Linked DNA regions of Mus musculus. The protein of the gene in region 1 interacts with the protein of each later gene in a biochemical or structural test. Links are inferred from orthologs where the notes say so. Each region holds a gene or a part of one and is shown on either strand. Other genes may lie near its edges.

Region 1 (4,233 bases):
CATTCTGTCCACCGCTGTGTGCTCTGCATTTCAGAGTGCAGTGCTTTGGATGGATGGAAACTTTATTATAATGTTTAAAGTTATCAGTTCATGGTTACTTTTCTTCAATCAAGAAATTGAGCTATTGTAAAAAACAGAATTTTGTCTTAGTTCTTTTTTTTAAAGATTATTTATATTATGTATGTGAGTACACTGTTGCTCTCTCTTCAGACACATCAGAAGAGGGCATTGGATCCTATTTCAGATGGTTGTGAGCCACCGTGTGGTTGCTGGGAATCGAACTCAGGACCTCTGTTAGAACAGTCAGCGCTCTTAACTGCTGAGCTATCTCTCTAGTTCCTTAGTCCTTAATTTAACTGTTAGTATTACATTATCAACTTCAGAGTATAAAGTTACCTCTATTTGTTAAAAGGAAACAAGTTCTAACAAGATGAGGGTGTGTTAAATAAACAGATGAAAACAGGAGCAGCGCTGAAGATGTACAGCCCTGGGGACCAGCAGTAGGCCTGTGCTCCCCACTAACATGGGAGGACATGGACCAAGACTCTCTATGGATGTGCAAAACCTCATGGTACCAACCCCATATCAAGCTTTCCACCATAAAAACTAATCTAATATCCAAGACAGCTCACTACTAAGAGGATATCAGGCAGGTAACACACACACTGGGGAAAAGGTGAGACTCGTGTCCCTGGCTAGATGCAGTGAGATGGCACAAGATTTTGTCACGGTACTTAGAAGAGTGCTCAATTTGTATCACTATAACCGTATCAAATTCCCATTAAATAATTAAATATTTTTGGACCATAGCTGACCCACAGGCAACAGAAGCCACAGAAAGCAAACCCTGAGACAGACAGACAGCCTCATGTAAACAACTTCCCACCATTTATCAAGACAGATAATACAGAAGGGACACCAAGCAGTTTTGGGGGAAGGATAATGAAAAGTTCAAGTTTTGAAAACATAAGAACATAGCAGGCAGTGGTGGCTCATGCCTTAATCCCAACACTTGGGAGGCAGAGGAAGGGAGTTGAGGCCAGCTAGTTCTACAGGTGAGTGCCAGGACAGTCAGAATTACAGAGAAACAAAACAACAGCCAAATGTATGAAATTATAGTTTGAGTTCTGGTAGACTTGGAAATAAAGTCCTGGAGTTGAGAAAAAAAGGAGATTCAAATAATGCGGATGAATGTTTAAGCTTGTCATAAGCAGTTTCAAAAATAATAGGGTGAATATCTAAGGAACACTATTTTTATAGACACCCTGACGCTTCTCTGTAGTCTCTCTAAGGTTATGGACATCTGACACAGGTCTAACGTGCAACTGTCAGGATGGATGACGTCAATGAACCCCGGAGCAGAAACAAAGGCCTGCAGCACTCTCCTCCCCTATCTACAGACAGGTCTTGTCTTGTTTTGCCAGCTATAAAATGAAAAGCAATTCTCTCCTTATAGGTACTTTAATGATTGTGAGAAAATTCAAAACTGTGGAACATGGGAACAGAGCTCCCAGACTTTACACTTAGGGTTTACTGTCCTCTTAAGGACTATAGTGGGTATCAAAGACCTTGTTTCAAGTAGAATGTGTAGCTTTCCATACAGCAGGTGCCCTACCAACTCCACTGAACACGGAAACTATGGCAGTTATCCTGGCCGTACCTTTCCCTCCTGGTACTTAGCTCTATCAGTTGTAATTATGGGCACAGCGCAATAAACTTTACAAGGGGTAAGTATGGTAGAAAAAGGGGTCTGAAGCACACATACATCTTCAACAACTTGAGGTTAAGTTCGTAAAGACGATTTTTCGGCAGCATTTTGGTGCTAAGTAAGAACGAGTTACCGGTTTTTAATGTGAATTCATGTATATTATCTAAGTTGTGCTCATTTGATTTTTTTTTTTTTTCTGGCAAAAGAAGTTAAAAGGAAGGAAAAAAAAAACGAAGCACGTTGTGGTTAAAGCCATTTCCTCAAATATTACTGTGTCTGTGAAGTTCTACATGGTCTAAGCAGAAGAGTCCAATTTAGTCGGGAGTATTTTCAACGTTTACCTGGGAACCAAGTCTCAGCGAGAAGTACGCACACCCCCTTCATTTAAATACGTGGGCGTCTGATTACTCGGGGAATTCCAGGGCGTGCGTTCAGCTGGCGAGCTTTCCGCAGCCCCCGATAGAGACCAGTTTCACCCATCTGCTCTACGCCCGGGGATGCCTGGTCCAAAGCCCGCTGTGGGCACACTCCGGCGGCTCCCTAGGCTAGCAGCTCCCGCGGCGGTGGCGTGGGATGGGGGATCGGCAGGATGGAAAGCCACCAGCGACGAGCGGATGGCAAGGAAACATCCAAGCCCACCGACAGGCTTAACCGCGGACTCCCGGGTCGCTGGTGGATCGTCTCCAGCCAGCTCCCGGGAAGCAGGCAGGTCGTGCTGTGCCAGGACCCCGCGCTCTTCCGACCTGAAGTTCCCCGTCGCTCAGCTCCGGGTTTCCGCTTTCCTCCGCCCGCCCGCCCCGCTGCGCCCCGCTGCGCCCAGCCCGGCGGAGCTACTCACGTCCTTCTTCACTTCAGTCAAATCCTCCTCCGTGAGGGACGGTGCGGGAGCCTCCATGGCCCAGGCCGGGATGGCGTCCTTCCGGCCCGCGCCACCCCGCCCAGACTAAGGGCTCGGGCCTCCGGGAATCAGGCTGTGACTTCGGGGGGACTAGGAACAGAAGCGGGGGAACGGCCGGCTCACGGACGAGGAGGTGGAGACCTCAACGCCCCACTTCCGGCTCCGCCCCTGGGGCCAGCGGTGCCGCGCTCAGCGTTCTTCCTAACTCAGGCACCACCCTTCGGCGAGGCGGGTCTGCCTGCAGGCCCCACCCACCTACGTGCCAGCCAATCAGTACTACCCTCGGTTACGTCTCTGCTTCCGCAGTGGCTCCGCCCACAGCGGGCGTCCCTCTAACCACGCCCCCTTGTCATTTACATAGGCTTGCGGATTGGACGCCTGAAGGATTTGTTTCCGTGGGCGGAGCACTGGCCGCTCAGTTTAGCGGGATCTCCCCGCCTTCGCAGACTCCTCGTTTGGGTGGAGTGTGGGCTGAGTCGGCCAGAGCATTTTGGTTTGCTTCTCTTTTCCAGATGTTGCGGAACAATTTCCTGTTGTGCTGAGCCAGGTTTTACAGTTGCGTGATCATACGTATATGTATACACGCACACATAACTTCCGTTTGAGGGCCTGCTCTGGGGGGCCACTGCCATTTACCACCTAGAACTAGGGAGACAGGAGCAAGGAGATCTTGAGAGCAGAAAACAAAACGACAAAACACAAAGAAAAAAAAAAAACTGTTAAAAGATTTAAAAATTACCTGCAATCCCATCAATTTAGCAGCACAGGTAGTGTTTGGGTACTTTTAAGTCTCTATTCATTAGAAGCATTTCTCCTTATTAATCTATGCAGTAGAGACAAATTTAAAAAGCTAGGGCCTCTAGGAGTATATTTAAGGTTCTGAAGCTACTTGGTACACAGTTACACTCTCTTATTGTTATCCTTTATCTCTGTTCAGTAAGTAAATTCTAGGGATGCTCTGATGGGGAAGTTGTTTATTGGAGGCCAAATGGCTATTTTCAGAACGATATTTTAACTCGTAGCCCGTGCAAAACGTGTCCTAGTGGATGAGGTGCTCCACATAGAGTCCTAGGCAGAAAATGATTATGTGGTCGATGAAGTAAATCTGCAAGTGTAGACTGAAATGTCAAGAGGACCAAAGGCAACAGGAATCTTTATCTAAAACAAAAGAACCAGTAGAGGCTTAAAGCCACATCTCTGTAGCTTTGATCAGAGTTCTGGAATCTTGGTGTTTACATTATGCCAGGTCTTTTTTTACGCTGATGTCTAGTATACTAGAGTGTTTTCCTGTGTCCTTAGTCATCCGTTGTCTTGTTATAACCCAATTTGCTTAATCATTTGCTCTTTCCTGTAGCAACCATCTGTTGAATGGCAACTACTGAACTACACCCAGATCTTCTTCTAGCAAATCAAACACCTCTGTCCTCCAGCTAGGGTGTGGTGGCACAAGCTAGCTAGCTGTGTTGGCCAACCAACTGCTTGCATCTGACCCAGCTATAAGCAGGAATAAATCATAAACTTACTTAAAACATTAGGAGGGTTTTTTCCTTTTTGCATTTTTTCCCCACATTTTGGATATGTAGGTTTTTTTTTGTTTGAACCCTGCAGATAAGAATATCCTGTCTCA
Region 2 (3,111 bases), on another chromosome or scaffold:
CAGGGAAGGACCACTCTATGTCCACACTCACCTCCTGGGAGTTCCTGGGTGAACTGTCTTCCAAGTCAGAGCTCTGTGGCCACAGAAAAGGGAGTTGGTCAGTGGGCTGTAGGGGTTCCAAGCACCTGGGTATGGGGTGTGTAGGGCATGGTAAGAGCCCCATCCAGGCTCCATCCTCTAGGGAGGCCCTGCACATGTTTCTAGATATGCCCAGAATATGTCTTTCTTAACACTACACTCCAAGCCACCTGAAGGTTACTCCTTGGTCAAGGCTGCAGTCATTGGAGTGGTGTGGATAACCTTGAGTTACATCTGTGGCTGTCACTTCGCCATGAAGAGCTCTAATGAGGAAAACTGGGATTTAGGAAGGCCAGGCATTTTCCGAGGCCACAAGCAGGGCAGCAGTCATGGCAGGTTAGTGATAGGGCTGCTTCCAGGCTGATGGTTCCTCTTGGAATCCTGCCTTGACTTCACATCCTCCCCAGCTCTCTCACTGCCCAGCCCACCCTGGCGACAGCAGACACAGAGGCCTACCAGGATGAGCATGTCCAATTGCTGCTGCTTGAGTCTGCCCTCGGCGGCCAGTAATCGGCTCTCCGTCTGGAACAGCTGTAGCTGCAGCTCATCTGCCTTCTCACCCAGCTCTCGAACCAGCTTTCGAAGCTTATCTTTGTCCTGAAAGCTTTGGGTACACTGTGCATGCAGCTCTTCCCTGGAGGCCATAGCCTGTAGGAATAGCAGAGGGCACACCCTCAGCAAAGGACCTGGTTGATGCTCTTGGCTCTCATTTGGCAGTTCAGGTCCTGGCTGGACATCAACCACCCTGGTGTATGGCTGGAACTGCTGAACTGGAGGGATTCTCAAAGCAGTCAGGGCTCTCAGTGTACATGAACAAACCCTGGGCGGAGTTGGAAATGACCAGATTCTTAGCACTGGGGAGGCAGAAGTGGGATCAATAGTTTAAGGCCATCTTTGCACATATATTGAGTTGAAGGCAAGATTGGATTACATGAGACACTGTCTCAGACAACAAAACAAAACACTTCAGAGAAGCAGCCAAAAAAACCCGTGATTAATGCTCAGTAGTTCATAGGAAGCCCAACTGAGAAGTCCTACATCCCCAGCAGATAGCCAGTGGGTGTTTCTGTCCCACCTATGTGACATATTTTATAAATTCTGGATGCAGCTTGACATTAAAAAACAAAACAAAAACAAACAAACAAAAAAAAAAACAAACAAACCAGGATTCATGGCTGTTCTTAAATGAACACAAAGGTTTTTTTCTTTTGTTTCTTGGAAGACAGTTTCATTATCCCAAGGTGGCCTCCTATTTACTGTTAGCTGAGGTTGGCCTTGAATCTCTGACTCTCCTGTCTTTACCTCTAAATCCGGGGACCAGCATGCTGGGACTGCCATGTACTACCAAACATGGCTCAGCTGCTACCGCTTTTGTTATTGTTAGTGGTGGCTTTTTGAGACAGGGTCTCACATTGGACCCCAAACTGGCTTGGAATTCATGGTAAATCAGGCTGCCCTTAAATTCACAGTAATTATTTTGTCTCAACCTCCAACTGCTGGGATTGCAGGTGTGAGTTGCTACTACTGCCTCTGCCCGGGAGCCACCACAGGTTCTTGTACCAAATGCTCCCTACCCACAGCCTATGCACCTAGCAGCTTCCTCTCCCTACTGAAGTCTCCCACCTCCTTACCCCACCCCCACCCCCACCACAGGGACTGCTGTGTTCTCCTCCCGCATAAGCTCCTCCTTTGAATAAGGTAGACTTTGATGCATTTGTACAAGCAGTCCCGGGTTCTGTCTTCCAACACTGCCAAGTTACCCTGAGCATAAATAAAAAAAACAAAACAAAACAAAACACTTTGACTACTGCTCCAGTGTCTGCCGCACCAATACCCCAACACTCCTGGTTCTCCGTTTCTGAACACAAGTGTGGCACCTACCTGGTCCCTCTCAATGGAGACCTCCTCCATCTGCAGCAGGATAGCCTCGATACGGTCCTTGTACATCTTGGCATCCTTGCGCAAGGCCAGGCACTGCAGCTCGAACATCTCCTTTTCTTCCGTGCACTACAGGAAGCACCACTCAGCCTCACCCTCCCCTCCCTCCTCCTCCCCCTGGGCTGGACTCAGAGCAACAGCTCCAGGGCACACAAGGTCTGGGATAATGAGGAAGGCACTGGAGTTCCAGTCCAATCTAATCCAAGACTAACCTAGTCTAAGACCATGGCCTCAGCCACCATTGGTCACACTGTAAGCCCAAAGGGTGACACGGCACTACTGTGTACTGTACGAATTGACAGTGAGCCAGGTCCCAGACCCCACCATCCAGGATCCCAGTGGGCATTGCTTGTCTGCCCTGGTCTCTCACCCGGGCCCGGAGGGTCTCAGCCTGGCGGAGGTCCTTCCGTAGGGAGAAGATGGTGCTGACCTGCTTCTGGTGTTCCTGCAGTGCTTGACGCCAGTCCTCCTCCAGCACTTGAATGTATGGACTATTCCTGTCTAGCTTACCCTCCTGGAGGTGTCAGAAGGCAACAAGCCTGGCTGAGGAGGCCCACAATGGCACGGCCACTGCAGTTGTACCATCTGGTGTGCCCAGCTTCAAGCCCCTGCAGGCATGAGGCCTGATGTGCACTGGTGGGTCTCCCTACCTGCACAGAGACCTGCAGCTCCTGCACCCGGGCCTGCAGCAAGTCCTTTTCCTGCTGTAGTTCCCACAGCAGCTCCTGACTAGGCCGCTGCTCCATGGCGTGCCTGAGCTTCAGTGTGTGTTTGCGCTCCACCTTGCAGTCATCCTCGGCCTTCATGAGGCTGTGCCTGAGCCGGTCCACCTGTGGGTGGCCCAGTCAGCTGCAGCCTCCTCCAGGCCACCCCCTGCAGGTGGAGAAAGTGATTACCTCAAGCTGCAGGTCACGGTTCCGCATGAGTGCTGCGCCCTTCTCTTCACTCAGATGTGCCAGGCACATGGCCAGCTCATAGTTCTCGTCCTTGCAGCGCTTCAGCTCCGCACTGCTCAGCTCACACTCCTCCTTGAGCCGCTGCACCCGCTCCTGGTGCTTGCGCAGTAGGCTGTCCTTTACCCTCAGCTCCTTGATG
Region 3 (3,500 bases), on another chromosome or scaffold:
GACCTCGGTTTGGTTCCTAGCACCTGCATCAGGCAGGCAGCCCACAGGAGACATATATCCTTCTACACACACCTAAGTGCAATTGAAAATGACTGTTTTCAAATGGAAGTTGGTCCCTGACAACTGAGGTGCAGAGGAAATTAGAGACATGGCCAAGAGCACTTGGTCGCCCATGCAGCACTACTCAGACTTAGGTTGTCTCTATTCAGTCCTCCACACAGAGGTCAACGGTGCCTCCTGGAGACTTAGGACGAGAGGCCTCCTGCTGGACTCAGTGCACTGAGCTAAGCCCCTAAACACAGTGCCGACCACTCACAAACACTCCTGCTGAACTCAATGCTTAGAGCTAAGCCCCTAACCACAGTGCCGACCACTCACAAACACTCAGAGAAGCATCCTAGCAGCATGCTGCCCACCGTTTTCCAAAAGAATAGTCGTGAAGTGACATTACACGTGTAAACCGGGTACTTGCCACTGAGTGACATAAAGGACATCTTAAAATGACACCTACAGGCACTCCAAAGTCCGGCAGAAGAGCGAAGTGGACATCGTTGTTAGTGAAGACTTGAATGGAGCAGTGAAGTTTTCAAGTTCGCTACCCTTCCCCAATAATCTTAACAGGTAAGGCCGTGGGGCATCAGTCTTATAGATCTTCTTCGCCTCTGTTTAGAGCTACAGGTTTGAGATAACAGCTGACTCTTTTTTACTTTAATTTTATACGTTTGAGTGACTGGTGCCTGTGGAAGCCAGAGGAATAGTCAGATCTCTGGAACTGGAGTTAGAGATGACTGTGAACTGCCGTGTGGGTGTTGGGAACCAACCCTAGCTCTTAAGCACTGAGCCATCTCCAGGCCCATGCATAACTTTTGAATAGATATCAGAACACCATCCTGTGATTGAGAATTTGGACCAGTCTATCTCAACATTAGACATAGGATGGGTTTCCATATCTCATCTTCCTAGGAGTCTTTTTAAAAATTGTTTATTTGTTTGTTTGATTGGTTGGTTGGTTGCTAGCTTGCTTGCTTGCTTGCTTGGGTAGGTAGTTGGTCAGGTGGATGAGTGGGCGGGTGGGTGGTTAGGTGGGTGGTTGATTGGGTAGTTGGTTGATTGGTTGGTTTTTTTCTATGGTGGAGATGAAGTCCCTGGCTTTGGTTTTGATTGGTGGCTTTTTTGTTTTGTTTTTTTGTTTTGTTTTCTTTGGTTTGGATTTGATTTTTTGAGACAAAGTTTCTCTGTGTAGCCCTGAATGGCCTGGAATTCACTCTGTAGACCAGGATACCCTGGAACTTGGGGAGGCACTGGGGAGGCAGAGGCAGGTGGATCTCTGTGAGTTCGAGGCCAGCCTAGTCTACAGAGTGAATTCCAGGACAGCCAGCAGCTGGGATCCCTTTGTGCCCAAGAAATGTTTATAATACCCCAGATATGTAGATACATAAAGTATATAAGTCAAGCATCTACTGATAATAAATCATATATTTTAAAAGAATCATTTGGTTTAATCATACTGTTTAAAGGCAAATATTAAATTTTATTAAAGACAAATATTAAGTTAAAATATTCATATATTAAACTTACATACTAATGAGATTAATGAAATGTATGTGATTCGTTTACACAAAGAAATCTTGGCCTAATTTTTTCATATTTTCTTCATATGTGTGTTTACACATATGTACACACAGAGACATGGTGCTGATCAGGAAACCACGGAACCAGGCAAGCACCCCACCCAGCTCTCACAAGCCTTATCAAAGTGTCAGGGTCACTTTCAGTGTGTGCAGGTGTATGTGTGCTATGGAAGACAACCTTGGCTCTCTTCCGTCGCTCCACACCTTCTCCTTTTCAAGGCAGAGTCTCTCTCTCAGGTCTGGAATTCAGCAAGTAGGCTGAGCTGGCTGACCCCTCAAGGATCCACTCATCTGATAGAAGCATTTCTTATGTGGACTCTGGGATGGAACTTAGGTTCTCATGTGTGCACAGCAAGCACCTCACTCGAGCTGAGCTATCAGCCAAGGAAGGCTGTGTGTGCTTCGGGATTTGCACACTGCGGCAGGCCGGCTCAGGCCTCTCTTCCCTTTGCTCCCTTAGTGTCTTGGCTGAACGGCTGGAGAAGTGGCTGCAGCTGATGCTTATGTGGCACCCTCGGCAAAGGGGCACGGATCCCCAGTATGGCCCCAACGGCTGCTTCAGAGCCCTGGATGACATCTTGAACTTGAAGGTTAGAGCAGAGCCCAAGCAGCCCCGAGGCAGCAGCTGTGGTCCCCAGTGGAGCACAGCAGTCTTTCCAAGGAAGGGAGACATATCAGATCGTGGGCCACTTGGCCTTGTGAAGAAATTCAGGTTCCTCTGACTCTTTGGGCTAAAAAGAGGACAGGAAAATTGAGATGACTGACATGTTTTGACATCTTGCCGTTGAGGAAAAATGGGACTTAAACTAGCCCTTTACCAGCAAGTATGGGTTGGGGGTAGCAAAGGGTCTTGGCAAATCCATGAGCCTTTTGTAAAGAATTTTGATTTTTGGGATAGTGAGATAGCTCATCAGGTAAAAATACTTGTGGCCAAGCCTGACAATCTACCTAATGGAAAAGAGAACCAACTCTTTCCAACTGTCGTCTGATCTCCACACACGTGGTGTGGTGTGCGCACGTGCTCCCCCCTCCTAATATGCAAGTGTCTTAGTCAGGGTTTACTGCTGTGAACAGACACCATGACCAAGGCAACTCTTACAAGAACATTTAATTGGGGCTGGCTTACAGGTTCAGAGCTTCAGTTCATTATCATCAAGGCAGGAACATGGTAGTGTCCAGACAGGCATGGTGCAGGAGAAGCTGAGAGTTCTACATCTTCATCCAAAGGCAAACAGGAGAAGATTGGCTTCCTGGCTGCTAGGATGAGGGTGTTAAAGCCCACACCCACAGAGACACACCTACTCCATCAAGGCCACACCTCCAAATAGTGTCACTCTCTGGGCCAAGCATATTCAAACCACTACAGCATACAAACACACAATGTAAATAAATGTTAAGAAAATTTCTTCCCAGTAACATCTGGGTTGTGTTGCAGCTGGTTCATGTCTTGAACATGGTCACAGGCACCGTTCACACATACCCCGTGACGGAGGATGAGAGTCTGCAGAGCTTAAAAACCAGAATCCAGGAAGACACGGGGATCCTGGAGACAGACCAGGAGCTGCTGCAAGAGGCAGGGCTGGTGCTGCTCCCTGACAAGCCTGCTACTCAGTGCATCTCAGACAGCAAGGTGAGTCCTGACTTCTTCCTGCGCCCTGCTTGCCCTGTTTCCCTCAGATGTGGTCTCCTAGAACACTGTCAGCATTCCACATTACTACTCTCACTATGACAATTGTATACAGTGACACCGTGTACAAACTGCTTGATGGGTCAGGAGTCCCAGGTGGGTCGCTAAAAGACACCAATCATTCCATACTCAGTTTGTCACTTCCAGACCACGAATATTTTCTTGTGCTTCCATTGCCAAAA

What was found. The genes of interacting proteins can lie anywhere in the genome.
Region 2: the proteins of Bcl10 (region 1) and Card9 form a complex in vitro, tested with the Homo sapiens proteins (2 studies listed by BioGRID). The link is inferred for Mus musculus from reciprocal best matches to the Homo sapiens genes BCL10 and CARD9.
Region 3: the proteins of Bcl10 (region 1) and Ikbkb form a complex in vitro, tested with the Homo sapiens proteins (2 studies listed by BioGRID, with this or other methods). The link is inferred for Mus musculus from reciprocal best matches to the Homo sapiens genes BCL10 and IKBKB.

The regions. Positions count from the first base shown.
Region 1 is NC_000069.6:145,922,829-145,927,061, reverse strand, and holds the start of Bcl10 (B-cell lymphoma/leukemia 10), read right to left. Parts: upstream 2,801-4,233; 5' UTR 2,604-2,800; coding exon 2,547-2,603; intron 1-2,546. UniProt on the Homo sapiens protein: Plays a key role in both adaptive and innate immune signaling by bridging CARD domain-containing proteins to immune activation.
Region 2 is NC_000068.7:26,354,799-26,357,909, forward strand, and holds part of Card9 (caspase recruitment domain-containing protein 9), read right to left. Parts: coding exon 2,913-3,111; intron 2,847-2,912; coding exon 2,667-2,846; intron 2,531-2,666; coding exon 2,387-2,530; intron 2,086-2,386; coding exon 1,960-2,085; intron 727-1,959; coding exon 535-726; intron 126-534; coding exon of another isoform or gene 99-125; exon of another isoform or gene 74-98; coding exon 32-73; intron 1-31. UniProt on the Homo sapiens protein: Adapter protein that plays a key role in innate immune response against fungi by forming signaling complexes downstream of C-type lectin receptors.
Region 3 is NC_000074.6:22,672,084-22,675,583, reverse strand, and holds part of Ikbkb (inhibitor of nuclear factor kappa-B kinase subunit beta), read left to right. Parts: intron 1-513; coding exon 514-621; intron 622-2,091; coding exon 2,092-2,221; intron 2,222-3,066; coding exon 3,067-3,261; intron 3,262-3,500.